Linked DNA regions of Rattus norvegicus. The protein of the gene in region 1 purifies or fractionates together with the protein of each later gene. This does not show direct contact. Links are inferred from orthologs where the notes say so. Each region holds a gene or a part of one and is shown on either strand. Other genes may lie near its edges.

Region 1 (4,133 bases):
AGAGAAATGCTGTAAATAAGGGAAGAATAAATACACATGATATGTGGTTAATATTTTCATACGTAAACCATTCCTTTTTCCCCCTTCGTGTCAGTCTTGGTAGATAGTCCAAGCTGAGTTTAAATCTAGGCCCTCCCACCTCAGCCTTCCCATGTGCTGGAATTAGCTGTAAAACACTCTTACCAGCTAAAACAATCCTTTTAACTTTCTGAAATTTTATATGTCTTATTAGTAAAAAAAAAAATGCAAATAAATAAAACATCACACACCAAAAGTTGTGTCTACAGTTAGAAGAGGCATTCCAAATGGAAGCTGGAAGTTTTACACTTCCACTATCAAATATATTTTATCTACCACCAAAACCAAGAGAAAAAGCATTAGAAATAGAAATCATTTATATCCTTTTGTAAATGATGCCCATTACCTACATTCAGTTCTTCTCCATCCTCATAATCAATAGGAAAAAGAAGTTTTAGTAGAACAAAATGCTGCAGCCCAGGGACATATGAAAGACGCTTCACCTGCAACAGCTAATATTTTCAAGATGGGGCTCAGGCTTGGGTTCATCTTAAGCCTAAAACTAAGATGAAAATACTAATATCTACCTTTAAAAATATAAAAGAAACCAACCATACAGGAAACTAATTACGTGGTACACATGAACTATATATCTTTGCAGAAGCGTTCGCGTTAAGAGGCATTTTTTTTTTTAAATCTTTAGGGAGGAAAGTTCAGAGCGAAGCACCCAGGTAAGTGTTATGAAATTGGGGAGTGTTCAGATAAGATGGCCTCTTTATTACTCAATATTTTGCGGCATATTTTTTACGCAGTAGTAAAAGAAACGCACTCCACTGTGTTTGAAGGAACTACAGTCTCCCTCTTCAAGGCAGGCCGCCGCGCACTGCAAGTGGCTTTCATTTCCGTGGCGCAGAAACTTCCTAAGGAACATGGAAACCACAGCCTAAGCTCCCTCCAACACCGGCGGTGACGACAGCCTACGCGAACCCCGTGATGCCCCTCGCCTCCCACGCTCTTACCGCACAGCTCCGCCTCTGTATACGCGGCGGGGCGGGCCTTGCTCAAACCACGGATACGATTGGTTCTAGAGGAGAGGTGGGTGGGTCAGCGCTGTGACGCCACAACCTCGCGCACTGAAAGAGCGCGCGCCTAGGAAGCCGCGGCATTAGACGGTTGCGGGCGCAGGTGACTGGTTATCGTCCCTCCTGGTCTTCACGCTACTTCTGCATCGTGAGTCGGGGTACCTTGTCAGCAAGACCTCGCTCCCCTTACAGTAACTCTCATCTAGACGTCGCAACTCCGCCACCATGTTTGAGGCACGCCTGATCCAGGGCTCCATCCTGAAGAAGGTGCTGGAGGCCCTCAAAGACCTCATCAATGAGGCCTGCTGGGACATCAGTTCGGGCGGCGTGAACCTACAGAGCATGGATTCGTCTCACGTCTCCTTAGTGCAGCTTACTCTGCGCTCCGAAGGCTTCGACACATACCGCTGCGATCGCAACCTGGCCATGGGCGTGAACCTCACCAGGTGAGCGGGTGGCGGGAGCTGGGCCCCATCCCTCCCGCTTCGGCTCTTGGCGGGGCTGTGTTCCTGCACTCGCATTGGCTGGCATGGCCGTCCGCGCTTTCTGATTGGCCTGTGGTGCCGGGGACATCACCCACCAAAGCGCGCGGTTCCGAAAAGCCCGCGCTGGCTGTCGCGCCTACTTTTTTCCCGCGCCAAAGCCACAAAGCGGTAGTCAGCGGGAAAATGCGTGCTTCCGAGCTGCGCTCATTAAGTGCCTGCAGCTTTTTCTGGCCGATTTTAGCGCCTAATAAGCGAGTTCTGGTGAAAAAGGACTGTCGACTTAGAGTCTTAGAGTGACGATAGGCCTTTTCTTGACTTCTAGAATCTCACTGCGCGTCATGGATTTGCAGGAAAATCTCAGTTTTAGCTTTTAACTTTGCTACAACTACCTGTGTTAGTGCCTCCTGTATACATTTCAAGGACAATATGTGACTTATTTTGGTACAGATATATGGATTAGTGTCACTTGTATACATTTTGAAACATTTATGAAAAGGCCAGACGCGATAGGGCACACTCTCCAGTACGCTGAAAACCGAGGACACCCCACTAAAAAGGATGCGTTCTTGAATGTTGGCTTTTAGTGCATTTTACTAAATCGATTTTTAAGGATCACATATACCCGATAATTTGCTTAACCTCTGAGAGGGTTCGGGGTACCCTTATCCTCCCTAACAATTCTCCAATCATGAATGTGAAATATAAATTTAAAAATGTAAATGTGGAGACATGATGTTGATAAGCCCTGTGTCCTTTTTTTTTTCTAGCATGTCCAAAATTCTAAAATGTGCTGGTAATGAAGACATCATTACATTAAGGGCTGAAGATAATGCTGATACCTTAGCACTAGTATTTGAAGCACCAAGTAAGTTACACCCTTAAAACTCAGTTGCTACAGAAATTAAAGTGTGCTGTTTCTGTTTCTCACAATTAAAAACAACAGGGTTGTGGTAAATTTACAACATAGATATGAACATGTGCTTCAGTAACACTTGGATTTCTTTTGGTAGATCAAGAGAAAGTTTCAGACTATGAGATGAAGTTAATGGACTTAGACGTTGAGCAACTTGGAATCCCAGTAAGTATCTTGTTTCTGATGGTGTTTTACCAAGCTGTGATACCAGCTGATGCATGTTCTAAAGTGGAGTTGTGGTGTTTGCCATTTCACCAGACCACAACAGCCTAAACTTGATTGAGTTGTAAAGACATCAGAAGTCTTGTGTTCTGAGTTCTAGTTAAGGTGCTGAAACTTGAGAACATGAAGCTGAGTCTTCCTCTTTTCTAGACTGACCTTTAACCTTGCATTTACAGGAACAGGAGTACAGCTGCGTAGTAAAGATGCCATCTGGTGAATTTGCACGTATATGCCGGGACCTTAGCCATATTGGAGATGCTGTGGTGATCTCCTGTGCAAAGGACGGGGTGAAGTTTTCTGCGAGTGGGGAGCTTGGCAATGGGAACATTAAGTTGTCCCAGACAAGCAATGTTGATAAAGAAGAGGAAGCTGTAAGTAGCAAGAGGTGTCGTCCAGCTAACTGTGTCTGAAGCAGGATTGCCGGCTTAGCCATTAAGCCTTGACTTCTGTTTGTTTATTCATTCTTTCATTTTGAGATGGCATTCTGAGTAGACCAAGCTGGCTTGGAACTCAGATGATGCCACATAAGCTTTTACAGACAGGATTTGGAAAGCTAAGTGTACAACCTTTTGCTTCCTGGAAATACTCTTGACAAATCAGTGAGGATTAGCAAGTGAACGGAATGGTTGGGGGTGTAAAAGTCTTGGGATCATGTAGCTCCTCTAATAGCTTTTATGTGTTGTAGGTTCAGTTACTAGTTCATTTAATGGTGCAAAAGCAGACTGAGCAAAGTTAGGTTGTAATTTAGGCCTAGCTACAGGCAACAGGACTCAATACAATAATAAGAATATCCACAGTACCAAAGGAAATAAGACTTCATGCAACTCGGAAAGAGTTGCATTGAATACTCTGACATTTTATGTGCCTAGAGGAAGCTGGACATGGTGGCTCAAACCCATAACTGTGACACTCAAAGCAACAACAGGATGATTCTCAGTTTAAAGTCTACCTTGCAGAAAATGGATCTCAAAAAATGGGGAAGAAATTGGGATGGCAGGGGAAGATGCTTGGCAAGCCCTCATTCAAGCAGAACACACTAGTTCTCTTAATTCCTAAGTAGCCCTGACTCAAGGCTTTCTCAGGAATCAGATGTATATTTCATGGTTACACTTTTAAGTTTTGCTACCGAGCCTTAGCATCAAAGTCTGAACTAAGTGAGATTTCAGGGTTAATATGGTGAGATTCAGAGTGCTTACCACAAAGTATGTAAGGTAAATAGAAGGTGTTACTTTCTTGTCCTCTGCACAGACTTAAAGTAAATGTAAGTATAAGAATTAGAGCATAGATAGATATACACACAACTCAGAGAGCTAGTTCTTAACCTTACTCTGCTGAATTATGTCTACTTCCCTGTGAACTTCAGCTCCTCACTTCTCAAGACATTCAATCTATCAGTATTTGTCTGAAGTGCAA
Region 2 (3,412 bases), on another chromosome or scaffold:
TTAACTTTTCACAGTGTACAACTCTCAACTAGCACTTGAAGAGTGATCTTAAAGGTTGTATTTTCTTATACGAATGCTGTGTCAAGGGCTTCCTAGCAGCATGGGATGGCTGTGAACCACCATGTGGATACTGGGAACCAAAGTCTTCTGAAAGAGCAGCCATTGCTATTAACTGGCCTCCTTAGACACATCATTGAGCATTTTGAGTTTATTTCCTGTGCAGCAGACTGAAAACCTCAGGACGAGTGACACAGTCACTGTCTGTGGGATGGGAGACCCGTGGCATCACTCTGTAATTAAACTTGTTCTCCCATCTATAGTTTTAAGAGCCCTTCTCTTACACAGACTGGAGCAAGCATTTCTAGGAATGAGAAGGCACTGAACCCGTGTGTGTCAGCTTTAGGTCAGAAGGGCTGACAGCTATGGTTGTAAGCTTGTCTAGCTTTGGAAAACTGAGAGCCGGCTCTGGAGTCTGTAGGGCCTGTGGTAGACCTCCTCCTTCCAAGGCTCAACAGAGAGCAGGCGTACCTCTGGAAATCCCACGTGCCAATTCTGTTTGGGCATTTGACATAGGAAGGTAGGATTTCAAACAGGTTTCTTGACTTTGACTTCTACTGATAACATAAAACCAATTAAAGATACATAAAATACACTCCAAAACTCTACATTTGACCTAGATTCAGACGTATGCTCTGACCTCTAATGGTCATGACAGTACCAGAACAGCTAAGGACTCTTTGGTGATACCATAGGAGTATGAGGAGAGGCTAGCTAGCACTTACGGTTTCCTTCATCTGGATTTGATTGATCTTTATTCTGAACAACTTGTGTTTGAAGTCTGCATTGAAGATGAACTTATCTCCGTCTTCCACCTCCTTCCCTTTGGGACTTTTAATCAGGACCCGGGCTTTACCACAGGCGAGAGACTGCAGTGTTCTTCGCAACTCACTGTCCTCTGAGAGAGGCAAAGGAGACGACGTCAGAGAACACACAAGAGACTCAGCCAGGAGAGAAACCGTGGATGTGCCACAGAGTCCATGCCTTCTCTTAAAATGCTTTTCCCCTAGCGCTGTGGATGGAACCCAGGGTCCTGTGCAGGCCAGGCAAGCAATCTGCTACGGAGCCATACTTCCAGCTCATACTCTCTTTTAAATCAACATGGTCGTTTTAAGTGCCAGGTGTGAGGGTGCACACCTTAATCCCAGCAATTGGAGGCAGAAGTAGGTAGATCTCTGAGTTCTAGGATAGCCAAGGTGACACAGCTTCTAAAGCAAACGAACGAACAAACAAACGAAGGTACATCATAAGGAGTCTTCCTTCCTACCTATGCCGGTGGCCATTTTGATTTCTTCGAAGCTGAACCCGTCGCCCTCGTTGAACATGAGCAGCACGAGCGTCTGGAACAGGGACACCTGGAACTCCTTCTTCCCCTTTAAGAGAACGGAGACAGCACAGAAGCTGAGCGTCTTCACGGTACAAGTCACAACAGGATGCTTTTGTGTGCATGGTTTTGTAGGGGATTCAGAACTAACTAATCACCACCACGTGAAGAGAAATTACGCTATTGATAAAAGAATGAGATGATTACTGGTATTATGTGTAAAGCCCTGTCTTGGAGCTGGACGTGGTAACACAGGCCTGTAAGTGAGCAGCGGGAGGCTGAGGCCGGGGATGCAGGCTCTGAGTCCCATCGGCTCCTTGCACATTACCATTGCTTCCCAGATGTCAGGCCTGTCTGTTTGTTGCAGCTACTGTTTTTAAGACAATGGCTTGCTGTAGAATCCCAGGGTGGCCTTGAACTTTCTATCCTTCCCCCTGTTTCTGGAGTGCTGGGCTCAAGAACATGCACCATCACACAGGGCTTTCTGAGGCTCTGGGTGGCAACCCTAGAGGCTTAGGAGGAGCACAGGGAGTCTGTGTGAGAGCATGGGAAAGGAAGGCCTCAGTGCTCCCAATGCTTTGTTCACACGAAGAACAAGTGTACAGTGTGCTCTGAGGGCAGACTCTGCCAGGGATGTTCCATGGTCCCCTTTTCTTATCTAGAATGTCCCAGTGCACAGTTAGTACCACGAGACCTAGCAGTTCTGTAAGGAGAAGGCAAAGGATAGGAAGGGGATTTGGGAGAGCAGCAGTGTCAGGTGCCTCCTGCTGGACCCTGGTCCTATTTCATGTATTTCAGGGGCTGTCTGCTGTCTGCAGAGGTCAGCTCCTAACTACAGCCAGATACACACAAGTGGCACAACTCAACCTTGCAGAAGAATGTATGTGGTGCCTACAGAGTAATACAATGTATGGGTGAATGTATTATAATGGCTCATACGTAATTTATATACTAAACACAGATGTGAACATGAGGCCTCCCCACACATTGCTTGGTAACATGCTTCCTTCGTGTCTTTGTGCAGCCTGTGTCTGATGCAGCAGCTCTGTGGTGAGCAGCAGCTCTGTGGTGAGCACTGAGACCCGAGAATCTTAGACAATGTCTTAGTAAGGACTCCTGCCCATCTCTAACTGAAGTGGCTTTAAAAGAGAGCATGTGGAGATCTTAAAAGATTCTCCTCTTGGTTTCTGGACACATGACAAAACTTGTTCTTTGGCTTGGCACTTTACAACAGAGGGAAGATAAAACAGTTAACAGAAAGAAGTGTGGGGGGCGGGGAGCTGCAACAGCTCAGCAGGGGAGCTGCTGCTCTTGTGGGACCAGCACCTGCCTCGGTCTGTATCGCACTGTCTGCGGTTAGTTCCAGGGTGCTTGGCCTGCACAGTCAAACTTCCATAAGCCACTCTCGATGATACTACACAGCTCAAGTCCCTGGGAGCTGCGCTTGCTGGTCCTCTCCAGTATCCGTCAGCATCTTGGTCCCAGCCACACTTCACTGTGTTCTGTTCAGCCGAGAGCTAGAGTATCCTTTCATCACGCCGGGCTTCAGGCTGGCTTTTATGGTTGCCTCTCATGCCTACTGCTCTCTTAACAACTGCATGGGTGGTGTGTAAGTGGGCGCTGCTGTGCATGCACAGAGGCCAGAGCAGGATGCTCGGTATCTTATTCTGTTGCTTTCTGTCTTTTTCTCTCAAGATAGTCTCTCACTGTTTTTCACTGAGGCTGGGAAAGTCCCATGATCACCCCATGACTTTGCACCCCAACTGCACAGGTTAGATGTGAGCACAGCCATGCCTGACTACTGCCACACTTTTAAGTAATAGTATTTATTTGTTCATTTATATGTGCAGGTTTTATGGGGGTCAGAGGACACCTGGGGGTTGTTTCCCTCCTCCTACCATGTGGGTCTTGGGGAATCAGACGCTGGCTGTCAGGCTTGGCACCCGGTGACTTTACCAGCTGAGGCATCTTGCAGACACCCACACCTGGCTTCCCGTGGGTGTCGAGGATGTGAGCTCAGGCCTTCGTGGT

The links. The genes of interacting proteins can lie anywhere in the genome.
Region 2: the proteins of Pcna (region 1) and Cul4a purify together in Homo sapiens (affinity purification with western blotting; 4 studies listed by BioGRID, with this or other methods). This does not show direct contact. The link is inferred for Rattus norvegicus from reciprocal best matches to the Homo sapiens genes PCNA and CUL4A.

The regions. Positions count from the first base shown.
Region 1 is NC_086021.1:139,952,951-139,957,083, reverse strand, and holds the start of Pcna (proliferating cell nuclear antigen), read left to right. Parts: upstream 1-1,263; 5' UTR 1,264-1,325; coding exon 1,326-1,546; intron 1,547-2,352; coding exon 2,353-2,450; intron 2,451-2,595; coding exon 2,596-2,663; intron 2,664-2,896; coding exon 2,897-3,091; intron 3,092-4,133. UniProt on the Homo sapiens protein: Auxiliary protein of DNA polymerase delta and epsilon, is involved in the control of eukaryotic DNA replication by increasing the polymerase's processibility during elongation of the leading strand.
Region 2 is NC_086034.1:83,090,193-83,093,604, forward strand, and holds part of Cul4a (cullin-4A), read right to left. Parts: intron 1,431-3,412; coding exon 1,325-1,430; intron 956-1,324; coding exon 783-955; intron 1-782. UniProt on the Homo sapiens protein: Core component of multiple cullin-RING-based E3 ubiquitin-protein ligase complexes which mediate the ubiquitination of target proteins. As a scaffold protein may contribute to catalysis through positioning of the substrate and the ubiquitin-conjugating enzyme.